Lonchura striata: one gene and its partners. The protein of the gene in region 1 interacts with the protein of each later gene in a biochemical or structural test. Links are inferred from orthologs where the notes say so. Each region holds a gene or a part of one and is shown in the gene's direction. Other genes may lie near its edges.

Evidence for each region.
Region 2: the proteins of UBE2D3 (region 1) and RNF8 form a complex in vitro, tested with the Homo sapiens proteins (4 studies listed by BioGRID). The link is inferred for Lonchura striata from reciprocal best matches to the Homo sapiens genes UBE2D3 and RNF8.
Region 3: the proteins of UBE2D3 (region 1) and SH3RF1 form a complex in vitro, tested with the Homo sapiens proteins (2 studies listed by BioGRID). The link is inferred for Lonchura striata from reciprocal best matches to the Homo sapiens genes UBE2D3 and SH3RF1.
Region 4: the proteins of UBE2D3 (region 1) and UBA6 form a complex in vitro, tested with the Homo sapiens proteins (2 studies listed by BioGRID, with this or other methods). The link is inferred for Lonchura striata from reciprocal best matches to the Homo sapiens genes UBE2D3 and UBA6.

What each region holds. Positions count from the first base shown.
Region 1 is NC_134606.1:48,603,749-48,610,974, forward strand, and holds the start of UBE2D3 (ubiquitin-conjugating enzyme E2 D3), read left to right. Parts: upstream 1-4,215; 5' UTR 4,216-4,613; coding exon 4,614-4,637; intron 4,638-7,226. UniProt on the Homo sapiens protein: Accepts ubiquitin from the E1 complex and catalyzes its covalent attachment to other proteins. In vitro catalyzes 'Lys-11'-, as well as 'Lys-48'-linked polyubiquitination.
Region 2 is NC_134605.1:29,922,180-29,930,049, reverse strand, and holds the start of RNF8 (E3 ubiquitin-protein ligase RNF8), read left to right. Parts: upstream 1-4,859; 5' UTR 4,860-4,991; coding exon 4,992-5,081; intron 5,082-7,347; coding exon 7,348-7,476; intron 7,477-7,870. Other genes in the region: AARS2 (alanine--tRNA ligase, mitochondrial), read right to left, coding at 1-33, 363-471, 772-917, 1,361-1,505, 2,041-2,235, 2,994-3,139, 3,782-3,970, 4,401-4,625. UniProt on the Homo sapiens protein: E3 ubiquitin-protein ligase that plays a key role in DNA damage signaling via 2 distinct roles: by mediating the 'Lys-63'-linked ubiquitination of histones H2A and H2AX and promoting the recruitment of DNA repair proteins at double-strand breaks (DSBs) sites, and by catalyzing 'Lys-48'-linked ubiquitination to remove target proteins from DNA damage sites.
Region 3 is NC_134606.1:37,454,114-37,462,002, forward strand, and holds the start of SH3RF1 (E3 ubiquitin-protein ligase SH3RF1), read left to right. Parts: upstream 1-4,872; 5' UTR 4,873-4,986; intron 4,987-5,163; exon of another isoform or gene 5,164-5,311; intron 5,312-6,275; 5' UTR 6,276-6,377; coding exon 6,378-6,764; intron 6,765-7,889. UniProt on the Homo sapiens protein: Has E3 ubiquitin-protein ligase activity. In the absence of an external substrate, it can catalyze self-ubiquitination. Stimulates ubiquitination of potassium channel KCNJ1, enhancing it's dynamin-dependent and clathrin-independent endocytosis.
Region 4 is NC_134606.1:44,859,968-44,866,961, reverse strand, and holds the start of UBA6 (ubiquitin-like modifier-activating enzyme 6), read left to right. Parts: upstream 1-3,994; 5' UTR 3,995-4,112; intron 4,113-4,435; 5' UTR 4,436-4,563; intron 4,564-6,775; 5' UTR 6,776-6,797; coding exon 6,798-6,838; intron 6,839-6,994. UniProt on the Homo sapiens protein: Activates ubiquitin by first adenylating its C-terminal glycine residue with ATP, and thereafter linking this residue to the side chain of a cysteine residue in E1, yielding a ubiquitin-E1 thioester and free AMP.

The sequences.
Region 1 (7,226 bases):
TGATGCAGGGACTCGGCATTTTGCTCCGTGACTTAGAACTGAGATTAAAAGCACTTCTAATTCAAAGGAAATGTGGATTAGCTTGGGAATTGTTTAAGTGAAAATGTCAGAGAAGCTGTTGAAGAAATAATGGGAGATGAAGAATTGGCCAAGTTGGAATATGAAGAAAGTTACCTTTTATCTAGTATTTCTTAAAAACTAACTGCTGCCTAACACACTGACCTTGGCTTCACTCCAGATGTGAAAGGGGGTTGCCTACCTATTCTTCCTAACAGGAGACATAATGGTCACAGATGCATCAGCAAGGAAACACAGCACTGCTAAGGCTGTAACTGTGACCTAGTCATCCTCACTGAAGAGGAGAAGCCCACAGCTACACAGAAGGGCCTGATGATCTTTGGAATTTGAAACAGATAAAGTGGAACCCAATGGCATCCCCAAACCTGTTTTTTTCCACTGTCTTCTAATGGCACTTGGCAAATTCAGCATTTTTTGTTGTTGTTGTTGTTGTTGTTCTGTTAAAAAAAAAAAGGCCAATGGAACAATCTTGTTTTGTCCACTTTCTCCTGTGATCTTATTCTTTCTGGTATCCACTGAATCAAAAGGGTCCTCAATAAGGTGAGTTTTGCTCAGATTAAAGAAGGATTTGTCTGCAAGCTTGATTTACAATAATTAAAGGAAAAACAAGTTGGACAGGATGCTGAAAATTGAGGCCTGGTAATACATGCAAACAGGGAGAAGCTGAAGCTGTTGTTGTTCATCTTAGTGCTTTGTTTTCCAGCAGCATAAGCTGAAGTGCTCCAAACAGGAACTAATAGTAATCTATTGGATGGATTAGATGGATATCTTGCTTTTGTTGAAGTTTTTTTTTTTTCTCTCCTAAAATGGAAAATATTTTTGGAAAACATTTCCATCTTGTTTCCCCCTTTCCTCTCAGATATATGAAGCATCTTGTATGGAATGCTGCTTGGTGTCCACGATGTTTGGTTGCTCCACCTGTCTTGAAGGCAGGTAGAATAGCATGCTCCAAATATAAAACTGGTTGGTCTCGGGCAAGCAGAACTGAAAAACCAGCACTGATGTACAAGTAACCTCTGTAAACCTTTAAACTAAAAGGCTGGGCTGCTTTTCACTCAAATCCCCAAGGGGCACTGCTGTAACAGGCAAACAAGGCAACCTCCATTCTTGGCTGGACCATCCATTCCTATGTTGGACCATCAGGAAGTAGCTGAAATGGACTGGTGAATCCAGCCTTTGGAGGCTGTTGATCACTTGGTCACACATGGCTCTGGAACACCATATTTGAAAAAACAAAATTTAAAGACAGGTTCAAGACAGCTGGTCTGCTCTCAGTATTTTTGTGCAAACTGTTTATTACCAGGCCACATCTACTGAGGTATTTTGCATAATAAACCTCTAAAAGTCTAACCTGACTCCACTGCTGTGGAGGATTAGACATGGTAATACTTCTCTACAGCCACTTCTGAGGATTAGCTTCAAAAATCAAATTAAAATGAAGCAAACACAAATAGTTCCACAATAAGTTGCAACACCCTTATTCAGTAACCATCATCTGCACCTCTTGCGTTTTATATTACCATATGAGGAATCTATGCAAAAGAATATACATACTGTGTGTGGTAAAGCTGAAAAACTCTGCATGGGCAGATCAACATATTAAGATTTTGAGGCCTTGTTTGCCCACACATTCCTAGTGAAGTAAAAAAACTATTTGGTTTTATTTATTTCCAAATACTGAGGAGAAAATACATGATTTTTACCTCACAATTTGAGGAAAAGGAGGTGAGAGTGGAAAGCATAATGTTCTCCAAGCAGAACTGTGTGCTTGTGACTTGCAGAACAGGTCACAGAACTGTGACTGCATGTCTTGTTTTTCATTCCGACACAAGCCATAATTTTTTTTTTCTCAAAGGTCAGTATTTAAATGTGCAGATTTGTTTTTTAAAAATGACCAGCAAGTGCAATGAAGTGTTTGCCTAAACAAGTATACTAAACTAAAATTTGCAAATCTGTTTCTGAGCAATGGCTATAAACAAGACCTATCCAGTAAATTTGAAATTCTCTTTGGGGTCAAATGCTAATAGACATTGAATTTAACACGTAAGAAAACTTGATTTACCAGATTAACAATTCCAGTTGTCTTAAATTAGCAGGGGAAATTACACACTGCCAACAGTATGTTTATGCTGTTCTTAATTTCTTTCATTATACAGAAAACGTGAATCACAAGTCTGATCAAAAATGTTAATATAAAGTCATATTAGAGGTCATTAATCTCAAATAATAATTACAAAATGTAAAACTGGAATACTGCCAAGTATCTAAATCTCCTGAGATGACAAACCATAATGAAGCTCAGAAAGTTTGTGAGCAATTTACAAGGCAGAGCATCATGTCTGTGGTGCAAAGATAGACACGCTGGTGATTTGGAGCCGTTTAATAGCATCCGTAATCCAAAACTGGAACAGCAAGGTGTTCTTCAGCAATATTCTTGACTAAGATGATAAGAATGAAAATCAAATCATTTGTAATTACACTTACTGAACATGCTGTTCAGTACAATTAAAAGAATAAGCAAAAAATGAAGACTACATAAGGAAGCTGCTAGGATTGGTTTAGCAGATCATAGCAAGATAACTGGACTTTAGAAGTACAAGGTATTGTTTACTCTTTTGCTTGCAAATATCAGTTTTAAAAAACAATGGCAGTTCTACAACTGTGCTATTTTTAATAATAATAAAAAACCTCCACTGCTCTCCTAATTCACTGCTGCCTGTTGTCAAGCTTCATACTGAAAATGTTGTTACACAGTAAGCTTTTCTGAATATACTGCCTTCTCCAGACCAATAATAATTAGTATCCTAGACAGCAAGACAACTAACACTATGGCACTAAAACGAACACAAATGGAGCCCAGTGCCATTATGTGGACATCCCCCTGGACGTCAAATGTCATGTTTGTCACTTATACATTCCATCCTTACAGAAGAAGGGCAGTCAGGCAATCTTGCTCTTGTTTCACGGAAATGGAGTAGGAGTCCTTCCCCTTGTAGAGAACAATGTATAAACCTGCACCATTTATTACGGTGCAAAAAAAAACCCACGTGGCTGAGAGTGATCTGTTGGCACATGCTGCACAAAATAAAAAGCCTCCAAGGAGCTGAAGTGCTACAGAGGGTACTATTGTATATAAAACAATTGTATCTCATCCTCTAGAACTACCTAAAAGATTGTCATGAGCTGCGGGTCAGTCTCTTCTAGACTGCCTGCTGTGAGGGGACTAGAGGAAATGCATTAAGGTGAGACAGGGTAGTTTCAAATTAGGTATTAATTTTTCTCAATGTTTAGGTGGTAAAGCATTGGAACAGGTTGTCCGGGAAGGTGGTAGAGTCACCATTCCTAGAGATGCTTAAGAGGTGTCTGTTAACTGGCACTGAGTGGTAAGGTTTAGGGGGTAATGCCACGTGATGGTTGGGCTTTATGATTTTAAAGGTCACTTCCAATTTTGATGATTATATGAATATATGATGCATCTGGCCCTTGGACTGACAATCCACGTCACCATTATCTTCCCTTTGGTGATGTTTTGTCCCCTGTACTGAGACACTTGGTTGGACGTCCTCGTGTATGCCGATACGCCACTAAAAGGAAGCGTCCAGGCCCCTTACCCCCACACCAGGCCTCCGCTCTTCCGGGGCAAGAGCAGAGCTTCAGCTTCGTCACTCGCACCGCAGCGAACGCTGCAAACCCCATGGCTCGGGGGCTCCCTCCCTGCTCCGTGCCCCGGCGCTGCCGGCCGGCCGTGCCTGTGGGAGCGGCTCCTTCCCGGGCCGGGCGGGCGGTGACCCCTCCGCGGCGCCGGCCGGCGGCTGACGCGCGGAGGAACACCGCGCCGCCGCGTCAGCGGGCGCACCTAGATCCGGCCGCTGCCGCCATTTCGCGGGGAGGCGGCCGGGGCGGACCCGCCGCTAGCGGTGCGCGCCCGCCACCGAGCCCCGCGCCCGCCGAGCTCCGGAGCCGCCGCGACCCCGGCAGCCGCGGGCAGGAAGAGGCGCACAGCGCTCCCGAGGCGGCGGCGCCCACGGGCAGCCCCAGAACCTTCCTTCCCCTGCCCCGCCCGTTCGCCCTTGGGCCCGCCCTCGGCCCCGCCCCCCGGAGCCGTTGGCGGCGGCGTGCCGGGCCCGGCCCCGCCTCCCTCCCTCCCGCGGCGTCCGGGCCTGGCCAGCGGCGGCAGCGCGGGGCTCTCCTGCCCTTCCTCTCTCGCTCTTCCCTGGGCGGGTGACGCCTCTCGGCTCTCCCCGCACTTCGCACCCTCTCCCGGCCGTGACGGGAGGCGGCGGGCGGAGCGCTCCCCCGGCAGCCTCACGGCCCCGCTGCCCGCAGGCAGGCAGGACTTGGGCGGCCGGCCGGTCGGGCGCCCCCCCGGCTGTTTCCGGAGGAAGGAGAAGAGCAGCTGCCCCCTCCCCCCTCTCCGCCTTCCTCCCGGTTCTCCTCCTCCTCCTCCTTCTCCTCCTCCTCCCTCCTCCCGGCCCCCCGAGCGGAGCGCGGAGTCACCGCGGCGCGTAGACGGGCCCGGCACTCGCACACACACAATGGCGCTGAAACGCATCAACAAGGTGAGTGAGCACCGCGGCTCCTCCTCCTCCGCCGTCCCCCCCCTTCACCGCTTCGCCCTTCTTTTTATTGTTATTTTTGGGGTGTTTTATCTTCTCCTTCTCCCATCGCTTTCCTCCCCCTCTCGCCCCTGGAGTCTCGGGCGGGGGGGGGTGGAGGGGAGAGGCGGAGGCTGAAGAGGCCGGGCAGCGGCGGCTCCTTCCGGCGGGGCCGCGGCCCGGCTGGGGCTGCGGGGCCGCTCTCTCCGGGCCCGAGCTCGGCCCCGGCCCCTTCCTGAGGGCGGGGGCCGGGGAGGTCGGAGAGAGGCAGCTCCCGGGGCCGCTCGGATGTCAGCGCAGCCCGGGGTCGCTGCCGGTGCCCTTAGGCCGAAGCCGGCCCGGATGGCGGCAGCCCGTGTGTGCCGAGAGGTTTGGGTGCGATGGAGGCGCTGCCCGGGCAGCAGCTGGGCCCCTCGGCCGGGTTCTCCCCTCTAGTGTGCAACTTCTCTCCCGCATTGTAAGATGGCGGCGGGTCCGCCTGGCCCGGGCGCTTTCCGGGATCCCTCGCGTTCCGCAATAACGCGGAACTGACACACGGAGCAGCCACCGCGGCGCTGCCCTCGCCCTGCAGCCGCCCCTCTCTGCCGCCCCGGGGCTCTCCGGGCACCCGGGAATCCATCGCCTGTCCGGGAATCGCTTCTCCCCGCGACCGGCCGGGAGCGCGCTGCGCGCCGCCGCCTCCCCCCGTTGCACAATCGGAGCCGGGTGGAGCAACTTCGCGGCGGCTAACTCGGAAAAAATGCCGAGGTGATGAAAGTTTGGTTTTCTTTTTTGTGTGTGGGGGGGGTTGTTTTTTAAGATACCTCTCCCAGGGCTAGAAAGCTCCCGGCGTGAAGTTGCCCCTAAGTGGGTTTAGGTTTTGTCGGCAGGTTTGAGAATTGCTGGGATGTAATGGCAAAATGCGATGGGTGCGCAGCGGCGGAACCGGGAAGTCGCTGTTGGTCTGTGCTCCTTCTTACGCGAGCTACGTGGAGCAGTTACGTGTTTCAAGAGCTCAGAGGAGTTTCTTGGTCATCTCATAGCCTGCCAAGATGGCAGAACGTCAGTGTGTCCTGAAATCGGTGAATTTCAGTGTACAAAACGCCTTTTGTAGACAGTGTGTAAACTTCATGCCGCCTCTTGGTCTCGCTTTAATTTCACACAGTGCTTGTGGTCGTATTTTAGACAAAACAAGCGTTTTTTATAACGTTTTTAGTGAATGGATAGTACTGTTACCCTCGAAAATTTTAAATCCCTTCTGTGTAGATAGCTGAATGGATTGTCTTTGAATTATGGCTGTGCTCTGGCAAGGATTTCAAAACAATTCCTTTAGAATCTGCCATCAAAACTTGTTCCCTGTGTTAGTGGATGATAGCACTTGAGTTGAAACACAGCTAGGATACTCCCTGGTATGCTTTGTCATCAGCTCATGCTTATGAAACACGTTCAGGCACTGCAGGTAGGAATTTATTGTCAAATGTAAACCAAGACAAACCCCCACTTATGTAGTAATCTGGTGGTCAGAACCTGGAAACGATTCAGCGTGACTCTTGAGCCAGTAAGTCATCTCTGACTATAGCGTTTTGGCCTGTTGTGTACACTTTTGTATTGGTCCTTAATCTCCATTGCGCTGTGTAGTAGCAAGGTTCTTCCTTTATCCAGTGCAAGAGTTTACGGTTGGGAACATAGCTGAGCTAGGGTTTTTTAGGGCAAGAGTTTAGGATTGGGAAGATAGTTAGCTCTGTTAGTTTTTAATTTTTGCCTCCTTTTTTTGTATGTGTTTGTTTGGGGTTTTTATCAGTTTAATCACACCACATTACAAGATAGACTTCTAAATTCACGTGGAGTTTGTAGTTCTGATTTTTGTATTTGCAAACCTGGAAGATGACCTTAATTTGTGGAATGAAGCCAATCTTTGCATGTTGCTTTCTTCCTCTATTGGTTTCCAGTATAAATGTTTACAGAGGCTGCTGCTGACATAAAAAAAAAAACAGTAGGGCCAGTTCTATAACAAAATGGTTGTGAATGTAATTTTAATCCTGTCAACCAGTAAAATCCAGAGAGAGCGGTGTTGTCACTGATAAACTAGGATTCCCTGTCTTCCAATTGTAAGATCACAGATCAAACCTTGGAATTCTCTGCTTCCTTGTAGTATGTCTTTATCAGTAGATGAGAACAGGCTAAAGATAAACCAGGACCTCAGAACATTGTAATCACCATAGCTGATTTAGTTTGTGCTATTACTTGTCAGAACTAGAATTCATTGTCTCCTGCAGCAGATGACATCCTGAATGTACCAGTGAAGATATTTTCAGTCAGTTTGGTTGACTCCCTCTTTGTGGACTTGACATATCAAGCAAAATAACATTTTTCATTATATTGAGTAAACTAGACTTGAGACTCTGTTAGAGTGTGTGTGTGTGTATCTTTAATTTGAAGTCTGTTACACATTCAGAATGCAACCACTCGTAAGACATAACTGGCAAATTCTACTTCTGATTTGAAAATGAATGTAAATTAGTATTTATGTATTGGGTTGTCTACTTCTGGAACACCCTGTATAAAGCACTCCCC
Region 2 (7,870 bases), on another chromosome or scaffold:
GGCATTCCTTGTCAGCTCTGGATAAGCATCTCCCTGTGGAAGTGAGCCTCAGTTAGTGATAACATCCTCAGCATCTTCCTCGGGGGATCTCGCAGCATGTCACAAATATTATAGAGGTTACTTGCATACAGTAACACATGCTTGTGCTGACTGTACCACTGATGTCACTATGTCCCCTCCCTCCCATCACAAGTGATAATACGGACAAGAGGTTTTTAATGCTGGAATGCATACCATCAGGTAACATCTCCCTGGAGCTCCTTCCCATCCAAAATTGACTCCTGACAGTATGCAGAAAATGGACTTGGGGCTGAATAGGATGCGTGATGACCTTTTTCCCCCAAGACAGCAGTTTTACTCACCAGCACTTCCACAACTGTAGGCACCAGGGAGGCCAGGAGCCCAGGTGGAGCCTGTAGAACTTCAGAGCAAAAGCGTACAGCCCTGCGCAGGATCCGACGCAGCACCAGTCTGAAAACAGAGAAGGATTCCTCAGGCAGCCTTGTGAGCATCCCTGCCCAGCTGCCACATCCAGCATCCCCCAGCTCATCTGGTCTGATTCATCAGCACAGGCCAGATGCTCCCAACACTCTACACCCATCCAAGGGGAAGTCTGCAGATTGGAACCCCTTCCTGGCTCTCATCTTCCTGTCTCCCTAAAAGCTCATGTACTCCCTATCTGGGGCCCACACTAGAACCTCTTCCCTGGCTGTTCATATTCCTTTCTAGACCTAACTTCCTCCACCTCATGCCATCTCCTTACGTCCTTACTCTGCTCCAGAGAAGCCTGGGTAGATGCCATCAGTGATGCACACGCACAGGGTGCGCACATGATCTGCCACCACGCGGTAGGCCATGTTCACACGCCCAACATCAGCATTCCCGACCAAACCTTGGTATCTGGGTGCCCTGCAGACCTAAAAGAGAAAGTAGAGAGAAAATCAGCAGAAAATAATGGCTGCAGAAGAAGTTTCAACACAAGAGGCAGCCAGCTATGCCTGACATCATGTTTTTCAAGTACCTCTGAACCCCGTGCACCTAAGATGTACTCATCAAATCCTTCCACGGCACTACAGACCAAGACTTCTGTAACTAACACAGGTCAGCCAATGCCCTAGCACTGAGAAACTTAAAACACTTTAAAGGAAAATGAATCAGCAGTGCTGAAATTCCAGCAGATTTCCAGCCTGGAATTCTCCCTTTTTTCTAGAACACTGCATTGGACCTGGCAGGACATAACCTCCCGCCTCAAGACACTGCTCAATAACTGCTCAGAGAAGACTATACTATGCTACCCAGCAAGCAGTCTGTGTTCAAGGAGCTTTTGTTGAGCTGTGACTCTAAGCAGAAGCACCATCACCTTGTGAATAGCATCCAAGATGGGAGTGAAGAGATCTGTGTCATAGCTGGAACGTTTGTTCTGCAGAACTGTCACCAGTCTTTCCAGACCCATTCCTGTATCCACATGGTACTGCGGCAAGGGAAGGAGATTCCCCTCCACCTCTCTGTCAGCCAGGCAGGAAAAATAAAAGGCAAAAGAGAAGCAAGGATCAGTTCATGAGCAAAAATAAGGAACAGGTGAATCAAAGAGAATGGGAAAGTGACAGGGGATGGAAACATTGGGTGACCCAGCATAAGGAAGCTCAGGGATAAGAGTGACAGCAGCCTGCCTTAGCCCTGTCAGGCAGCCATTATCTGACCATCACATAGCATAGGCTGCAATGTAAGGAAAATGCAATGTAGGATAGGCTGCAATGTAAGGAAAAAAGGCCTTCTCCTCCTCTTCCAGACTGCTGCAGACCTCAAGAGATCTCTGGAATGCAGCATTAAGGGAGAATAGGCAGTGAAGGTTGAAGAAGACAGGGATTTAAAGCAAAGGGGACCAAGAGCCATGCTGGGCAAATCTCCACAGTTTCTCTCTTGCTCCTGGTCTTGGTATTGCTACCTTCTGGAAACCAGTGATAAGTCTGAGAATATACCCATGATTTTGGAGTCAGGCTAGGGGGAAAGGCTCTGGAGTTCAGATGAGATGCTTGGTACCTGCTGTACTGCATGAAAACTAAGTTCCAGATCTCCACTACATCGGGGCTGCCCTGGTTCACCAGTGCTGCAGCATTTCTGCCACCACCCACGTGGTCATAGTGGATCTCTGTGCAGGGACCGCAAGGACCTGTGTCCCCCATCTCCCAGAAGTTATCCTTCAATGGGAAAGGAAGCACGTGACTGGCAGGAACCCTGGAAAGGCAGATAACAGAGATGGCAGTGCTGAGGCATACACACAAACCACACAGTAACCCAGATCACAAAGAAAGCTGGAAGAAAGGAATCCTTTCTTCCTTCTACAGACTCAAAAAGGAAACACATCAGAATTCCTCTGTTTCTCTACTTCCTCTGCTTCCTTCTCTTCACACAGAATTACTCTCCTTAGTAAGATTAAGTGAGCCAAACCACACAGGACCCTAGTCTCAGCCCAGAATTATGGGCAAACACAGCCTGGCCCCTGCTGACCAAGACAGGCTCTCCACTGGGTCTGTGGAGCACCTTGCTCCTTGGAGCAGAGGCAAGACCTGAACACCATCAGTGGCACAGAGCTGTCTGCCTTGGGCTCAAAGCCTACATACAGCTGGAACAAGATCCCCAAGCACAGCAGTGCTCTCTGCAATGGCTGCACCCTCTCACTGAAGCAGACATTGCCTGCTTTCAGAGAACACACTCTCATGATGGAGAGGAAGCAAAGGATTGGAGATCCTGTACGTACTTCATCCAGGCCAGCCAGTTTTAGGCACATACCCACCCCCACTGATACTACCTGAGAATGAACCAAAAGTTCAAGAGACCCAGTGAGTTCAGAGCCCAGCTGACTTTTAACAGCGCAAAGAAACCAGAAACAAAATGGTAAAACATACTCTCTGGCCCCCACAGCTGATCAACTAAAGAGCAAATGCAAGACTGTGGAAAGTAAAATGTCAGCACCTCTTCTCTGACACACTTACCCCAAGTGGAGCCACACATCCCTGCACTCCTCGTCTGCGCTCAGCCCCAGCGAGGGGTCTCCACCAAAGTAGGTGACATAGAGACGATCTCTGGGGATCTCATAGACCTCTGTCAAGAGCTCCCAGGCCATGCTACATGCCTCCTCCTGAGCAGGTAGGGAACATAAATGAAGCACAATAATTCAGAGTCTTTAGAATGGGAATCAAACAACAAAGAAGTTAATTTCAGCTGTTTCTCTCCCTTTCTAATTTTCAGACTTATTGCAAAGAGCAAGGATGAAGGTCAGGAGAATGAAACAGCTCACTGCTGCCAGTGGAAAACTGACATTTCTAAAATGTTGTGAGCCCTTCAGCATGGTGTGCATCTATGTGCTTGCTGGCAGAGTTACATGGATTATTTAATTTCCAAAGAAAAAATCTATATGTCACCTAAAAAACTTAGCATCCTTTGTTCTTCTTCCCTTTTCAAACCTTCTAGTAACAAACATTAAATGAGCTGGTAACCTCTTTACACCATATTAAGTGGCTAACACTGGCATTCTCACAGAAAACTTTTATTTTTACATGTTGGTCACAGCTTTGGCAGGCTGAGTGCTTTGAGAGTCTTCAGGACACATTCAGCAATAGAGCCCATGAGCTCACCACCGCTGTTCCAGGCCACAGAGCCCCCAGGAATGAATCTGGATCTTACCAAAACACCTTCTGTACACACTCCTATGGCACTACAGCACAGCTCTGAAAGGCAGGTTATGTTTTCCCCTAGAAAGGGTTCACTACTATCACCTCACCTTAAAGTAATCCCCAAAGGACCAGTTCCCCAGCATCTCAAAGAACGTGTGATGGTAAGTATCTCGGCCTACATCCTCCAGATCGTTGTGCTTCCCTCCTGCACGCACACACTTCTGGCTGTTCACCACCCGCCGGTACTGGGCCAGCTCACTCCGGGGGTGCACCGTGCCCAGGAAAATGGGCTTGAACTGGAAACGAGAGACACACGCTCTAGATGCCTAGGTGTAGGCATTCCTACAGATGCCTAGGTGGCATCTGTACCCGCTATGGACAGATGCCACCTAGTGCAGTGAGCCTGCGCCTGGGGCTCCCGATACACAGAATGGGTCAGGTTGGAAGGGACCACAGTGGGCCATCTGGTCCAACCTCCCTGCTTTAGCTAGTTCGTTCCAGAACACACGGCACAGGATTGTGTTGACAGTTTTAAACTATCGCCAGCGGGGGAGACTCGCACAGCACTGCGGCACTACGAGAGGCGTCCAGCAGGACGGCGGCGCGGGGAGCCCAGGGCAACGCCGGAGATCTTGGCAGGGGACACCCCGAGCCGGGCGGCGCTCCTCTGAGATGCGGAAGCGCCGGCGAGCCGGAGGAGGGGAGGTGCAGGACAGGGAAGAGCACCTGGTTCATGCCCGCATTGACGAAGAGGAGACGCGGGTCGCCGCGGGGCCGCACGGGGGCCGAGGGCAGGCGGCGGTGGCCGTGGCGCTCCTCGAAGAAGCGCAGGAAGGCGGCGCGGATCTGCCCCGCCGACGGGCAGGCGGCACCGCCGCGGCGGGGACTGCAGCGCCAGCGCCATGGCACCGCCAGCAGCAGCCGCCGCCGCAGCCGGGCGGCGGCAGCCATGGCGCCTCACGGCGGACGGCAGCGCCGGGGCGCCCGGAAGGGGCGGTACGAGGGGGAGGCGGGACCCGGCGGAGCGCGGCGGGACTGCGGGAAAGCGCCGCGCGGCGGCCCCGCCGTCCTACGGCGCACGCGCGGGCTCCGGTCGCAGCCCGGGCTCGGACGGGCCCCGGCCCGCCCCGGCCCCTGCGAGCGCCGCCCCGCCGCGGAGATCGCTGCCGCCGCGGAGATCGCTGCCGCCGCGGAGATCGCTGCCGCCGCGGAGATCGCTGCCGCCGCGGAGATCGCTCCCGCCGCGGAGATCGCTCCCGCCGCGGAGATCGCTCCCGCCGCGGAGATCGCTCCCGCCGGTCGCGGCGGGCGGGCGCCATGGCGGTGCGCGGCGTGCCGTGCCTGGCCTGGTGCCTCCGCCGAGTCGGGGCCAGCGGCGACTGGCTCCTGCTGGAGGCCGGCACGCAGGTGAGCCGCACCGGGCCCCGACCCCTCGGAGTGGGCGGGGGGGCAGGCACGGCTCTCGGGGCGCAGTTTGGTGGGGTCTCGTGTTTCTTACAGCGCTTCCCAGGAGGAAAAAGCACCGCCTTGTCCCGCTTAAGGAGCAGCCTCCGTTCGTGGCCGTTCGGAGGAGCCGCCCGGGCGGGCGCCATTCAGCCCCGGTAACGCCCCCGGTCGTGGAAGACGGACCCAGGCGCTGGAGTGGCCTTGGACGAGCCTTCGCTTGTTTATGTCTTTACATTCTTATGTCATATTTAGATAGAGTTGTTCGTGTAACGGTAACGTAAGTGAGGACGAAGGGAGCCCATAGCCTAATTAACAAGGTGGTGCTTTTGGCGAGGTTAACAGTACCTAAGGCATAAGGTATTCAGGTGTAAATGAAGTCACTTTTAAATTGTTTTGATGCGGTACGGGAATAGCCGTTTTCTTAGCGATTGTGTTTTTAAATTGAAAAATGGGCCCTGGTACTCTTCTTTAAAACCCAGCAGGCAAAGACGTGTGATGACGTTGGGGCAGCGTAAAAGGAGTGCTGTTCCGGTGGTCAAAATCAGGTGGTATGGGTGATGCTGTGGCCAAGGCCTTGTGTTCAAACACCGCAAAAGGCACCCATCCAAACGTATGCTTTTGTTACTCTCCCATTGTGGATTTGAAGCCCTGAGATTTGCAGATCTCCTCGGTGAAGGACTGGCGCTAACAACTTGCAGCCAAGGCACTGATAATTATGCAGGGAATCCAGTTTGGTATGTTACTATTCTGATTGTATGCACAGTGGTTGTCATTTGCAGCAGGGAGGTGCTGTAGGTGTGCCAGGCCACAGAGTACAAACTGCTTTTGCTGGAGATTTAAATCATAATCATAGATTATGCTGAGATGAAAGGGACTGACAGGGATCACTGAGTCCAGCTCCTGACTCTGCACAGGACAGTCCTAAGAATCACACCACATGCCTGAGGATGTTATCCAAACACTTTTTTAACACTATCAGGCTTGGTGCTGTGACCACTTTGGTGCTAAAGGACACTGCTCATATGTGGGAATGGGATGTGATTTGCCGGTACTGCTGTGAGCAGCACTGAACTCCAGCAGGTGAGTGGTAACATCTTGGACCCCTGCTTGCTAAATGAGCTTGATCAAGGGGGAATTTTATGACTGCCCCTGCTTGCTCTCACTCATATTGATATGTGAGGTCCTGTAGACGTGTGTGACTGGGCCCTGAGGATGCCACTGCAGGGACAAATGCAAAGCTGCTTTTATGTTTGAATCCTCATGAAGAAGGGAGTCTTTATCCATTTGAGTCTCTGTACCTCTTATGTATGCAATCCATGCTGACAGAAAACTATATGAAACATTTAAGAGGTAGGCACTAACATGTTTAAGTTTGCTTTTGTTATCTTAGTTTGCTTCCTTGCTTTTGGTTATGACACGGGGGTCTGAATTCTTGCTCTAAACTCAAGGTGAGAACTGCTCAGGTAATGCGGATTAATTAAGAGAAGTGTGCAGAGGAGGCAGCAGAGGGAGGGAGAGCAGGGATGTGCTTTAAATGGCAATCTGAAATCAGATGAGATTTAAAAAGATACTGTGCAATACTACAAATATATGCCTTCTTCCAGAAAATAGTATTAGTCTAATGCAGTTACTTAGATCACTTTTACTACTGATTATGAGCTGCATGTAGCTTAGATTCTGAGCCATAAGATCGATGGTGTGATTTACAAAAGTACTGTGTATTTAGGACAATGTTGAGTGTGCACTTTTTTTTGATGGCAGTTTTCTGGGCTATTTTTTTCCTGTATCTTTTCTGTTCACAAATGGTTGAACAGATGCAACTAGCAAAAGAAGAGGTTAAGAAGTAGTCTTGAGACCCACACACAATAGTGCTGGTTTGAAGAAATGGTATTTGGTTAGGTAATGATTGAGGTGGGACAGAGTTGTATCTGAGTGGCTTTGAGCAGCTTTGCCGCTGAGGAAGATTTCCATGAAACCAAGTTGTAACGTGCCTCAGAGAAATTAAAATTTCCTCAGTGGGAGAGAAAGATAATACTTCAAACTTTATAAGCTTCTATTTTCTATATACTCTTAAAATTAAATTAAAAAAAAAATCATACTATGCCAGACCTTTTGGAAATAACCATAAGATATTGATATAGAGTTTTGCTGTACTTAAATTGAAATGCCATAAACTGAATTTACCATGTCATTACTGATTGCAGTAACTATGCTACTTTATTTTTAGGTGACTGTTGGCCGAGGATTAGATAACACGTACCAGCTGGTGTCAAAAACCTGTCCCTTGATGATCTCTCGTAAGCACTGTGTCTTCCAGCAGAATGCAGAAGGGCAGTGGACTGTCAAGGATAACAAGGTATACTCCTGAGATACATTGAATAGAATCCATTCTTTTGGATCTAGCAGTGTATGGGCTATGATACAGCATAAGTGGGATAGAAGGGATTGTGTCTTGCCTGTTGTGCACTTCCAGCAGGAAACTTCAGTCTGCTGCAGTTGGGATTACTTTCTGTATGTAGATCTACCTCTTAGTTTAGCATTATTCAGACCAGTGTGGCCTGGCCAAGGGCACTTTGCAGTCTGTGAACCTTCGGTGTCGCTTTCTTAAAAAATATCCTATATGAATTTTGATACAGGGTTTTATCTTTTCAAAAGGATAACATTCTTGTAGTGCTAATGAAAAGATAAAGTGCAACTCGTTGTTGTAGTGATACAATTGCTTTGATTATAATCAACTTCAACAAGAATCT
Region 3 (7,889 bases), about 11 Mb from region 1:
AAGAGTTGTAACATCTTTATTCTTTAATGCCACAGACACGTTTTGTATTGCACATTTCCTCCCTGTGACTCAAATTAAGTTATTACAATAGCAGCAATATGTACAAAGTTACAATCCCAGGTTCACCTTATCAGCGAGAACTGGCTTACGACATGAATACACAAATGATACTGTCCTCAAGAAAACTGGATGCCTAGAACACAGCATAAAAATGTACTATCAAGTACATTTGGGCTTCTAGTTTTACAACTCATTTTTCCCAGCTCCTCACCAATACCAGAACAGCGGAGATCCTTCTAGCAGGATGCAAAAACCTTAGAAGTTTGTCATTGATGTAGTTAAAACTAGTTCACAACCCAGAAATTGCATCAAGGATAGCATAAAACTCAGTTTGCCAGCAAACCAACTGGATCAGTATCAACCATGCTGAGCTCCTTGCTGCTCGAATTGTTGCCAACAGTAACTGAGCTTGATAATTTAAACCTGGTACTAACTGAAAAAAACCCCACCAACAACTCAACAAAAAAAAACAAGACAGCAAAGCAAAACCAAACTGCAATCCCACCTTAGCTCCCTGAAAAAACCTGAAAACAAAATCACAAAAAAACCCCAGAATGACCTACAAACAAACAAAAACAAAGATATAAAAACAAGAAACAAAAAACCCCAACTCTTTAATGAAAAAGGAAAGAAGCCATTGAAGAACATCTTTGCTCATTTCCACCAGACTTAAGAAAGTTGGCCATGGGCCATCTTTCATCATGTGCTTTACATTGACTTACCAGCAAGATCAGTGTGGCCATCAGCAGTAAACTTTCACTAAAGGGATGTCAGTGGGAATTTTGCATGGTCTTTGAAAGGGAATCGCCACCATATCACCAGGGGTCATTTTACAAAGAAATAAGATTAACCTTTTTGGTCTGTACCTGAGAGCGGTATTACATGGGAAAGACAGGCTAATGTGAACATTACATCCTTTCTGATTAAATTACCAAAAAAAAAAAAAAAAAAAGAAAAAAAAAGCTTTAAAAATACTTTAGTAAAAAAATGTAGCTCAAAACAAAAAGATGCTTATAAAACTATGAATACAATTAATTCAGACTATGACTGTTGTGTTTTCTTACATAACGCATCTTGTTCCATGAGTCTTAATATGTTTGAGCCTTCTGCAGTTATCTGAAGACTTTCAGGATGGAATTCACAAATAAATTAACTGTGCCTTCATATGTTTATTCTTGTAGGCCTGCATTTCTCTACATGGCACTCAGTTTTATTACTCTAAATATATATAGTGCTAACATGACTTTTTCAGGCAGATGGATTATCCCTGCTGTCCAGGGTAATAATCTTCAGGGACATTTTGTAGGATTAGAAGGAAGATTGGACCTGGTGTTGTTCTGTAGTGTGTTAGTGCATTTAGTGCATTAGTTACCAAATATCTTTAAGATTTGCATGTTGAAAAATTTGCAATTCTGAAATATCCTATTAAAAATTTTCTAAGAAACTAGATGCAGATGACTATAGAGTGCATCTCCTACCCCCTCTTCCCAATAATTCATTGGCAAAACTTGATGGAAAATCTGGAGAGATATTAAGATTCTAGAGGTTTTATAGAAAACAGTGGTCATATAAAAAATAATCTAATATTGAATGTCCCTCCTACAGGAAAGGGTGCAACAGATGCTGTTCTCTCTTCTTGTGAGCTGCCAACTTATCAATTAACCAGTGCTGGTCAAAGCCAGGTACAGTATAGACTGTCTCACATTTTAAAGACAGAGGAAAAACTAAGGGTACTTGGAAATGTGCCAGAAACAGGAATTATTGCAGTAAGAGTTAGTTATAATAGAAAGTGTGACTGTTTCAATAGAGTGGGCTGAAGACATGGGGAGAGGCCTTTAGGCTGTTCGGTTTAGAGAGGAAAAAAAGAACGCATTGATGAAAGAGGAGTGCAGAGACCACAGTGGGTTTATTGCACTAAGGATGCAGACAGAAAAAAGGAAAGCAAAAGGTGTTACAGTTCTTTCTGACGTTGTCCTTTGCTGTTCTTCCTATTGTCCTTTGCTTCTTCCTTTACTTAACAGCTTCCAGGTGAAGATAAACAATATACATTGGAGGAAAAATATAAAGTATACCTGAAACCCAGTGACAAAAATACAATTCACTACACAAAAATGTGTAAGATACATATATTAATAGACATTATAATTGTAAAAATCCAGGTTGAGTAACTGGTGGGCCTCATCTTTCAAATCTGTGTTTTTAAGGGATTTCTTCCCTTTGCATCATGTACTTAATAACAACTGTACAAGAAACTAATGAACTGTGCATAAGGATGGGACAATTTCAAGAAGTGAGGCCACCTCACATAAAAATGTCTGAACAGTGCAATGTCTGAATAGTGCAATTCCCTGCTTATGGCTGGTAGCAAGAAAGTAACAGCAATTCTGTTCCTTTTGGTCCTGGCACCAGAGTATTGCAGCCTCTCTGAGTCAAACACTTCACGTGTAAGAGGGCAGAGGCATACTTCTGCACACACTCCCACATTTTTTTACATGGATCATAATTGCTTGAAAATTAACTGCAGCTACTGCTCAGGAAGTAACATATTTACCTGATGCTCTTCAGAGTGTTTACTGCTTTGGTTTATATTCCACAATGTATTTAGCATATTACAGACTTTACATAAAACACTATCAAAGACCAGCCCTGATAAAGGAGTAATCTTTTTATCCTGTTTCCTTGAACTTTCATCTTGCTTCCCTGGTGCACCACTTGTGTTGTAAATTCCTTTACTGTTTTAATAGATATTTTACATTCCTTAGGCAGCAAAGTAAGTTTAGACAACAGTAATTGTCTTGCTAACAAAACTATGCTAGAAAGGCTGGCAAATAATTACCATGAGATCTTTTGAAGAAGCTAAGTCTAAAAGTGAAATCCAACTGTGAAAGAAGACTTTGTTTAGATTTAACAAGTCTCTGTTTCAAATGTACTGATTATCCTTTTTCCTGTAGTGACAGCACTGATATGGCAAGATAGAGGAATACTATGAGACATAAGAATATTCTTATGTATCAGATGTTTATACCCTTCTATTTATGTTACGATACTTCCTGGAAAGCACAGACATAGACCAGAAACCCATCTGTATCAGTTTTCCTAAACTCCAGAACTCATGGGGGAGGAAACCTTATTTCTTAATGAACTGTACATATTTAGCAGCTTCAATATTTCCACTACTATGACTGAAAAATAAAATAAAATATTAGAGATGCAGTGTGAGAGAGTACTTACTTGGAAATCGTAATAATCAGAGAATATCATTACCATTGGAAACAAACAAGTTAGCATATCCAGAAAGTAAGACAGAAAAGACTGTCACACTATCAGCTTATCCAAACCTACACAATCCATGTGTGAAAAAGGAAAAGGAAAAAAAAAAAAAGGCAGCTTTTTATACATATGCACAGAATTCAAGTAAGGATGACAGCAAATTTAAAGTTACAGAATATCCTGAATTGGAAGGGACCCACAAGGATCATCAAGTTCAGCTCCTGACCCTGCAAGGGACAGCCCCAAGAATCACACCACATGCCTGAGAGCCTCATCCAAATGCTTCTTGAACAAAGTCAGTCATTTGCTGTGACAACTTCCCTGGGGAGCCTGTTCCAGTGCCCAACCACCCTATGGGTGAAGAAACTTTCCCTAATATCCAATCTAAACCTCCCCCAACACAGTTTCATACCATTTCTTAGGGTCAACTAGAAAGCTAGAACTACACACAAACTTTAGGATTGCTTGCTTTTTTGACTTGCAGTTGGCAAGATGAATAACTGGAACTTAAACATTTGTCTAGCTTTTTCATCACCCATAGACAAGGGGTGTCATTTGATTTAAAAAGTGCAGGCTTTAACTTCTTTTTGTTTTATGGTAATTTGCTGTATCTTGGGGTTTATTTCCTCCTTCATTCCCACAGTCTTGCAGAGAAGTATTTCGCACAAAACACCCCACAAGCAAGTGCATCATATCCTGAATACAGAGGTGTGTGGTTGTGTGTGTGGGGGGAGTGTGTGAAGAGAGGCACTCACCAATTTTCTGGCATCATTTATTTAATGAAGCAGTCCTATCACAAAACCGTTTAGTTTGGAGCAGACCTCCAAGATCAGCGAGCCCAACTGTTAATCCAGCACTAACCATGCCCACGAACACGCTGCACTCGACCTTAGCACAAGCGTGCTGCAAGGGCCCGAGGGAGCAGAGCCGCAGCCGAGGGCAGCGATGGACGTGACACGGCAGCCGCGGCCTCACCGCGTCCCACCGAGGCGCCGGGAGCTGCGGGCGCACGGCCGGGGAGGCTCAGGGAGGCGCCCCGCCCCGCACACGGCCGCCCAGCACGAGCAGCCTCCTCGGGCGGGCCGCCAAGGGCTCCGGGCACCGCGGCTCCTCCTTCTGCAGGCCTGGCAGCCGCGGGCCGGCGCTCCGGGTACGACTTACCACAGACAGCGAGCGGGGGAAGCCCTGCGAGGAGCGAGCGAGCGACCACCCACCCTCGTTCCCTCCCTCCGTCCCTCATCCTCGTTCGCCACCGCCTCCGTGCGGACAGCGGCAGCCCCAGGTGCCCGTCCGGGCTGCCCCAAACGCACAAGGCAGGGGGAAAGCGCCTGCTCCTCCCGTCCCAGGAAGCCGCCTCCCCTGCCGAGACACCTAGCGAGGTGCGGGCGGCAGGGAGGCCGAGGCGGCCCCACGCCCCGTCCCCGCCCGCGAGGGGCGGTGCCGCCGGCGGGCACCGCCGGGCCCGCCCCCGCTCCCTGCCCGCGGCCCCTCGGCGGGGCGGCGCCGGGCGGGGCGGCGCCGCGCCTCGCGTCAGCGGCCCCTGCGCGGCGGGGCGGGGAGGGCGCGGGAGTCTCCGCGCTGCCGCGGCGGGAGAGGCAGCGGCGGGGCCGGCGGCGGCTCCTCACGGGAACAAAGCGGGGGCAGCGCGGCCGCACGGTGAGAGCCGGTGAGGGACGGGGACGCGGCGGCGCTCGAGCTCCCCCGGGACCCCGGCGCTCCCCGAGGGGCGGCGCGGCGGAGGGGCCGCGGGCCCGACCCCTCCCTCCCTCTGCCCAGCGCCGCGGGGCGGGCTGACAGCGCCGTGGCCCCCGCCCGCCCCCGCCTCCCGGGGAGCCGTCCCCGCTCGCCCCGTGTCCCCGCAGGGACCCGTGCGCGCCGCCGCCGCCGTGTCCGCCCGCCTGCGGGTCGCTGTTCCCTCGGGAGCAGGGCAGTATAAAGCAGGGAATCGGGGAGGCGGTCCGGGAGCGGAGCCCGGGAGCAGGTAGGTGCGGGACGAGCGCTCGGGGAGCCGGGGGCGTCGCTCCCGCGGGCGGCTGCGGGGGCTGGGGGGAGGCGCTCAACTTCGCCCGGAGCCGGGCACTGCCGAGGTCAGCAAGCCTTTCTCTGTCCGCGGAGCATCCTGGTGTGACTTCTCGCAGAATGTTTGTTTTTTAGGGGGGCTCTTTAGTGGTGTTTGGTTTTTATTCCCCTCCTTTTCCCAGCGCGTCGCTACATAGGCTGGAGTTTGCTGGGGGCTCGCCCCTGCCTCTGTGGCTGCATACGCAGCGCTCGTGTTGTCCTAACGATATGGCAGTAGCACTTCCTGCTGTAAATCACTTCGCGATAGTTTTTGAAGCGCTTCTTAAAGGCGGCACTGTAATGAACCCTCTTGTCAGTGCTTGCGGTAAGCTTAAAACCCTGTGAGCTGGAGGCCGTTTTCAAGGCTGAGCTGTGTAATGTGCTGCAGTAGTTTTTATAGAAAGGGTAGAAATGTAGTTCACTGTTGGCTTAGTGTTGGCATAAATGTAATTCTCCTTGCTGTACCCTTTTGGTGTAGGCTGTGTCGTTTTGGACCCCGTTGTAGTTACCTTTGCCATCTTCTTGTTGTGAAAGAAAGCTAATCTCAAATGTTCACGGAGAGTGATGTATTAAGAACTATGAAAAGTAAGCTTTATTGTACTGCTGTACTGGGTTCTTTGTTCTGGAATAATTTGAGGAAATAAAGTCACTCAGACTGAAATTTATGAAGACTTGAATTTAAAAACCTTAGCTGTTAGCATTTGTTCAAATATTTTAAATAAATAAATAAATACATTAATGTAGATTGATATTACTGTATTCATGTTTCATTTATTGAATTAGTCCAGTGATCTCTTATTTTGCTGTTTGTATGAACATTGTCATATAAAATGGTCTTGTTGACTTTTTCCAGCTTATTAATGCCTTTTTCCCTCAAAAAATTTTAGAGTACAGTCGGAAGAGGAATGGATGTAACATGATACCCTTGCAGTTTTCAAAACACACAGATTCTGCAAAAATTTGTTTCTTCATTAAGTAATACAAGGAAAATGGATGAATCGGCTTTGCTGGATCTGTTGGAGTGTCCTGTTTGCTTAGAGCGCCTTGACGCTTCTGCAAAAGTCTTGCCTTGCCAACACACGTTTTGTAAACGCTGCCTGCTGGGCATTGTGAGCTCTCGCAATGAGCTGCGATGTCCCGAGTGCCGGACTTTAGTGGACTGCGGTGTTGATGAACTCCCCAGTAATATTTTGCTTGTTAGACTACTGGATGGCATCAAACAGAGGCCTCGGAAACCCAGCGCCGGCGGTGGGACTGCCGGCACAAATGCTTTGAGGGTCCCCACCAACACTGTAGCTAATTGCGGATCAAAGGAGCTGCAGAGCTCACAAGTTGGACAGCAGCAAAGGGTGCAAGCACGGAGCCCTCCTGTTAGGGTAAGTACCATGTGGTGACAGTATTTTGTTGCATTCCTGTCTTTTCCTCCACCATTTAAAAACAGTTGACGGCCTCTGCTTTGGGATAAGGGCAGTCAGATAGTTAATTCAGCAAAACAATGTAATTTTGAGAATTTCTGTAAATTTCTAGCAAAGCATGTTGGTGTTCCAATCCGTGTTGGTTTAATGTTATGTAAATACTAAGAATGCTTCCTGATTGAAACTCTGTTTTTGAGGCAAGGAGAAGAAATCCTTAACTGTCCAACTGAAAGTCAAATAGAGCAAGGTAACTTATGTGGAAAGCTTAAATTAAGTTATTATTAAGGATAGAGGTCTTGTGAAGAACATTTGACATTGTTTTTAGTTTGTCAGCTGCAAGACTAGACATTTCGTTTTGGCTTGTGCACTTTCTGAATTTTTTTCTTAAAATCAGTAAATTTCCCTTAAGTTAGACATAATGAATGTTAAACACGAGTAGAGAAGTTTCGCCACTGGCTTCCAAGTATCTACATTTTTACCTTCTTTCCTTCAAAAAGCAATTTTTGAATGCCTGCAATCTGCTAAGTTGTTTGCAGTCTTAGTTCTCATGATTTCTTTACTAGTTTTTCTTCAAGTATATTTTCTAGGGGATTTAGAAGATGTATGTACCATGATGGGAAGACATCACCTTCTTTGTATATTCTAGTTCTTTCCGAAAAGCTATGCAACCTGTAGACTCTGTCATACCTTATAATCAAGACTCAGTGGCCTCATTTATGATTATTCATTCTAGAACCTATGTCAGGAAATGTAATTTTATGAGATGACAGACCTTGCTTTGTTTTATCTAATAACAAAGCAGGACAGCTTCTCTGAAAGGTTTTGCTGCCCAGTTTCTTTGCGTTCCTGTGTTTGAAGTGGAATTTCTAAATGTTTTAGGTGGTTTCCATCTTGTGGAGTTTGTTTGATTTTTATGAAATGTGTTAAGGAGCTCCAAGAAGAGGACTTGAATGTATTTTTGGCAGGACTAGTCTTTATTTTGAAGTGTATCTAAATTATTTAGTTTATTTACCCAGTGAAGGAATCCCAGCACTGATTTTTCTCAGAAGTGCTTGACATGATTGGCATCTCTCCAAAAGATCTTGG
Region 4 (6,994 bases), about 3.7 Mb from region 1:
TTTTATTTATGATGACTCTGTTTTCTGCCTTAGAGTAAAACAGCGAGGCTACTGTGTGATTAAAGAAAAGGTTTTTAAAAGCCTTTTATTATTCTTGATGTTAAGATTTAGCAAGGATTTAAACAAAATAAAGGCAATATGTTTCATAACATTAAATGTATTTAAAAACAATTGATTTTTTCTGACCTTCTTCTTTGCATAATAATAAGCTAAAGTTTGAATATGATGCAAAATAGACTAATCTTCCTTATTTTCCTTATAAATATTCCTTATTTTATTTAAAACTATTCTAAAACTACAGCTTTCTGTAGTTCTATCCATTCCCTGTCCTAGGAATCGTTTTGTTATTAACAGTGGTTGAACTTTACAGGTGTTTCAGTGAAGACAAGGTAAGACACTTTTCTAAAACACTCAGAGGTCAATTTCAGTTAAGACAGTACTATGCAAGAATGGATCTGAATTCAAGAATTTACCACCTTGCTTCTGCCCTTGGAAAAAACATGCGTGTCCTTGCATCCCTGCAAGTTTGCTATGGGAAACTCTATGCAGCTGGTACCAATTTTCCTGAGATTTCCCAGGTAGATTTAAAGCATCAAAAAATGTGTTCCAAACCTCTGGTTATTCCAAATGAGTTGTCTGGGGCTTTCCCAATGCTAATTTTCAGCTTGGAGCCGGAGTAGGAAAGAAAGAAGAGGCTGATTGCATAAGGCCTAATCACATGAGGAGGTCTGCTTGAATGACATCAATCTGTCATCAGGATTTCTTATGTAAGTAAAGCTTGTAGAAAATCCCATTCTGTATCTGCTATTCCTGTTAACAAATTAGATGAGCTGAGAGCCAAAAGACATTATTTAACCCAATGAATGTTTATCTGGCAACTTGCAGCCTGTGCTGCAGATTCACAGGCATGGAAAAACTGGCTCTTGCTTTTGGAAATACATTCATAAACATCTCAGTGTGAAATCAGCTTAGGTGCCCTTGATAAGGTGCCCTTGTTTATCTGGATTTATCAACATTGTTTAGCTGGATTTATCAACATTATTAACATGGTTTCTAGGAAGCTGTCACTTGCTAGAGCACCTTTAAGTAGCAAGTTCCTTCTGCCTATCCTGCTGGGAAGCTGCAGTCCTTTTAAATATGCCATCAAAACACTCCTACATGGCATGGGTTGCCAAAAAGAGGAGACAAAGCCTTGCCAGTCAGCACCTTGCTCTTGCAAGAGCTAACGGCAAGCCATAGACTATGGAAGGATGTTTGGAAACTCATTGAAAGATGCTGATGGGGATTTATGGTAACTTCTGGACTGGCCTGTGTGCTAAACTGAACTGTGTTTGCCTTAGTATTTTCAAATAACACATTTTTAGGGAAAAATCTACAAGAGTTTTGTCTGCTAATTTGCTTATTAACTAAATCAATTAGGGAAACAAATGTATGTGTACAAATCTCCATTATGAAGTCCCACTAATCATGTGAAATTGCACCTGTAAACCAGGAAATTAAAGACTAAAAATACCCAAGTGGCTTGAATTTTCTCAGGAGATAGAAAGGAGATTTACAGCTCCATTTGAAAACACTGGCTCTAAAGATGTATTCAGTATCTGGATGCAGAATGCATCTGCACATAAGTAAAGTTGCAGAGATTTGGGACATGAATAGACTCAAATCTGGAGGTGGTTATATTCTCCTGGCCGCAGCCTCATCTCACTTATTGCTTCAGCAAATCTGTAAACTGACAGCTTTTCTTCCTACCTCAAAAGTTATAGCTGACTCTAACGTGATGCTAATATGGAGCTGGGATTTCCTTTAAAATTAATTTATTTAACCAATTTTTTTAAGATTTTAATGTTATATGTAGTTTTTAAGAAGAAGACTATGGGGGGCGGGGGGAAGTCAAATGACTCCAGATGCTTCAAATTTTGCAGTCTTACAAAGTTTAGGGAAAATCTGTATGTTTTTTGATTTGGTACCATCAGCCTATAGAGTTCCTGGGTGCACCTGCTAATTGATGCATTTGTGAATTTGTTTCTTTGGCTTCTGGGGTAAACAGAATCTGTCAATTTCTTAGTAGTATTTTATCTTAGAAGGCCCACATTCATGGTTTCAACAATTGTTAGTGTTTGCCTGGTTACTGTTCAAGGGTTAAGTGAGAATTAACTGGATGTTGCTGTTTCTCCACTTAGGCAAAAGGCTTGTCAGTATTTGCTGTGACTATGCAAAATCTACTTTATGTGAGATGACTGTATAAAAGTGGACTGGGTCTTGAAAAATGTAATGACTGGGACACAAAGATGGTAGGTAGCAGATTCTTTTAATTATTATTATTTTTCATAATACTTTTGATGGGTAAAGTGCTTGAAAATAAGAATGATTAGGTTAACCTTGAGATTAGAAAAAAAAAAAGTTAATTTTTAAGGAAAGAAACCACAAATATAAGGGTAAAAATAACAGACAAGACAAAAAACAATGCAAGTGACAAAACCAAAACTGACTTTTTTTGGTGTCCTTAAACTCTTTTTCATTTCCCCCCTCCCCACCTTGGTCACTGGGACTCCTGTTAATTCCGTGCATTAGATACATGCACTGCTCTTTGAAATGACTGTGTTGAAATAATGAAAGTAATTATTCCATGTTCTGATTTTTATGTATTATGTGAAAAAGCTACAAAGCAAATACCAGCCTTAGCATCAATTTCTTTACTGGTAAGGGTTGCAGTCGACATCCAGAACGGTTTTCTCCCATTATCCCGTCTCTGAATTCGGCATTGCAGACTTCTAGTGTCCTCTAGTGGTTCTCTGAAATTTGCCCACGTCTTCTCCAATTATTTCTGTTTGTGGAAACAGCATTGTAGCAGACAAGAACCTTCATCGTAATCCTGCCAAAGCACAGGCCACGTTTGAAAGAGCACAATGTTGTGCAGCTGCTCTTAATATTTGTTAGTAATTAAACATAAAGGTGGTATGCGCTCTTGGATTGAGGCGTAAATCTTGAGGGTTGCTAGAATTCTGTTAAAAGAAACGCCAAAATAATGCACTGGGTGCTCACAAAGAGCACAGAACTTGGGTCTTCTTGCTCTTACAAGTTCCCCAAACTCCAATTAAGATAGACAAAAAGCTTACCTGTTTGGATTTTTTTTTTCTTGTGTACCATAGGATGCAGATGGTTGGTGTGGTTGGGGGTTTTTAAACTTAAAAATATTTTAAAATACAAGATGACTATTCTACATTCACTGTATACATGGACACTTTTGAGTGCTTGAATCCCTTCCATTCTAGACAAGATGTGCTAACGGTATCGAGAATGATTTAAACTCGTCTCATCTACGCTAAGTGATCGGAGTAACAAAAGGGATCAAGGTGAAGGGATAATAGGCTGGCTGATGGGAAGGTGGGCTCTGTTGGGACCTTAATCAAGAGTCTGGGAAATGGGAGAGAAAATACTGATGGGAAGCGATGCTGGTTTTAGTGGGGTGGCGTGGAGCTGGTGGCGGAGGCAGCGCGGCGGCTGTCTCTCTCCTGCTTGACTTGCTCTCTCCTGCTTAATCACCACCAAAACAAGAGGAAATGTTTCCACAAGCCTGTATACCACCCCGGCATGGGCCGTACTTTGCTTTTGATAACTCTTTGTCAAACCTTCTCTGAGGCCTTGGCTACGATCTAGTATTCTGTTGGCCCCCGAGACCGCTTCAATGAAGTTCTGCCTGTTCGTGCGGTCGGTGACATCCTGCTGGCGCTCTCCTGCGAGACACACAGGCAGGTACCGCAGGAGCAGGGCCCGGAAGCGCTCTTCATCGTCTAAACTGGTCATACTCGAACCTAAGGAGGATTTATTAATTTTATTACTTTAAACGGCACGGCGTGCTGCTTTCCGGGCAGAAAATGGCGAGGATTCCAACGGCTCAAGCGGCCGCGGCCGGGCGGCGCTGCGCAGCCCCTTCCGCTGCCGGGCGCGGCGGACCCGCCTCCTGAGGGCGGCGCGGCCCCGCCGGCCCCGCACGTCGGCGCAGGCGGGGAAGCGCCGCGGCACCGGCGCCGCCGCTTCCCACCCCTTTCCTGCCTCTTCCCCTGCCGCCCGCCGCGCTCGGGCCTGTGAGCGCCACGCCAAGGCCGCCGCGGGTGAGGAGAGCGGGCGGCGGCGGGGCCGGGGTGTCCGGGGTGTCCGGGGCGGGCGGCGGTGCCCGGCGGTGCCCGGCGGTGCCCGGCGGTGCCCGGCGGTGCCCAGCGGCGCCCAGCGGTGCCCAGCGGTGCCCAGCGCCCCGGCAGCGGCGGGCGGGGGCTGCGCCGCCGGGCTCTGCTGCGGGCGCGGTGCTGCCGAGGCAGCCCGTGGGCTCTGTGCGGGCTCCCCGCTGCAGATCCCCGGGGTCGGTGTTCCCGCATTAGCTCGGCTGGGCAGGAACTGGGTTTGAGCCTCCTCTCTCTCTCTCCCGCTGATTGAACAGGGAGCCTGCATCGATTGGGATCAGCCGCTGGAAGCTCCGGGCAGGTGGGATGAGCCCAGGCCTCCGTGCCATCCCAGCGTGCTGAACAGCGAGGAGTTAACACTGCTTCAGCCTGCGCTGGCTCGGAGGTAAGAACACTGTGAAACCAGCACACCGCTACAGCTCCTGCGCATTTGCTACTCTTCAGAACATCTCAGTCCTTCCCGGTAACATGTAGCTTCTTGGTTTGTCCCTGGGTTATGTCATGCATGCAGCTGAGGCTTAAAAAAATTAAGAACTTGATTTAAACAGTTAAATACAAGGCTGACATTAAAACTGATAGTGTTGGCTTTTAAAAGGAAACAGACAGCTGTGTAAATGTTGAGCCTCTGGTAAGAACTAGGACATAATGCTAGAATGACTTTTCTACATGCATTTCTTTGAAACAGATTCAGTGCTGGTGGAACAAAAGTGAGAAATAACTTGGATGCAGAAATACATTAACCAAGTTTGTCCTACAGTCGCTTGACCATAATGTCATTAAATCCTCCTTGTGAAAAGAGGTATTTTCCTTTACCTGGTGGGTGCACCGGCAGCATCTCAGTGCTGTAACTATGTCTGCAGGAGGAAAATGGGGAATTAAAAAGTATATTGAAAGAACCACTGTCAAATGAGTCTGTGTGAAACAGGTGGCTGAGTTTCTCTTTCCAGTTGATCACACGTTCTAGTTGTTTACAGAAGTCTGTTTGGGAGGGCGTAGAGATTGAGATGACTGTCAGCAACCACAACAGTATAAGCTGAGCGTTTTTATCCAGAGGTGGATCACCTTCCCCATCTTAGTACTGCAGTCCTTTTTTGTGGTGTAGTCCCAGAGTGCTAGTGCTGTTTGTGGAGGCTGATGGTGGAGGACAGAGCAGCTCTGGTCTAGATGGCTTGCTTTGAAGGGGACCTCCGGTCTTGTGTCTCAGGCAGTGGCTGAAATGAAGGCCCTTATTTAAGCAGGGACTGAAGCCTGTGACTGTAAGGTATGGTGTGTTGCATTCTGGCTTGAGATCTGGCTCTGGTTAAATGGTCATTGCTTGTCTTCAGCCCTTGTGGTGTCAAGGGCATGGGAGCTGCTCTGAAGTGGCTGGTGATGTGGACTTGGTGGAGCTGCCTCATGCCTTGAGTGCTCACTGAAATGCAGGACTTAATATCCACATGGTGGAAGAACTTTGTGGCCTGTATCCAATGTAACTCTGTCCCTTGCTGTGCTATTTCAGCACTTTTTAAAAACCAAAAGGACAAATTTTGGGTCAGAATGTTGCAGTCTCCACATTGTGACAGACTCGAGGTACCATACTTCAGAAAGGTTAAAATGTTTACCAAAATCAACTGAACAGTAAATAGGAGTTAGATTTTGGGCAGGTTTGAAAACTGTCTTAGGGTATATCTGTGCTCTCAAAAAAAATGTCCTTAATATGTCTGGGCCCTTACTTTTCAGTCTCAGGAGAGAGGTTTGTCAGCTATGTGTCGTTTCCAAGGCAGTTTGTAGAAAGCTGAAATAAGATATGTGACCCAGAACATCAGTTCCAATCACTACTATAAAAGTACACACAGGGTCTATTTTGGTCATCCTGTGTTTGGTGGCAGTCACCTGCCAGGTTCAGGAAGCACCAGTTCCCAATGTGCATAAGAAAGAAACAAGGTGCCCAGGGGCAGCTTGTTCTTAATCCTGGTGCTTAGTTATCACCAATTTAACAATGAAAACATCCTTGTTAATGGCCGAAGGACTTAACAGCATAAATTACATTTTTTCTTACAATTCTATCAAACTGTGTAACTGCATGTTTTAATTAAATGTTGCAGTAATTCAGATCTTTGGGTGTTGGTTTCTTCAGTTAACTGAAATACTTGTTTCTTAAAGGTTTTCAATTAACATAGAAATAATGCAACATAAATGCCTATTTCTAGCCATTCAGTGATCTTCTATCTTCTTTTCAAAAAAAACCCACTGATCAGATAGATGCAGGTTGATCAGCTTGGAGCTCTTAATATAGAATGAAGTTGCTCTTTCAGTAAATTTAACTGTGGCAAATACAATAAGTAAGTCTTGCATTTCCTCAGTGAGGAAATTAATGTGTTTGTATTTTGAATGCAGTTATTGAAGATTGGTGGGGTTTTGTCTTCTGGCTGTGTATTTTCCTTACCCAGGCACTGTGATGTTCCACAGGCTTCTTAATGTTCAAAGTTATTCCTGTGTAGCATCACTTTTTTATTTTTCAGTTCCTTTAATGAAGAACTGAGTGGGGCAGGGAGGGCATGCCAGCTATGAAATTGCATTGGACATAACCAGCTCATTTCTTTTTGTAACCCTTCTAGTGTAAACAAATCACATTGAATCATGGCAGCAGACTCTATGGAAATTGATGATGCTTTGTATAGGTAAGATTGTCTGATTTTTAAGCATTGCTTCTGACTTTTCAGGATCACTTATATTTACATGTAGTAATGTTACAATTTCATTCATCCCTCAGCCTTTGCTGGGCTTCTTGGTCCTAATCATCAATATCTCTGTTACCTTCCAGACCTCAGGCTGTT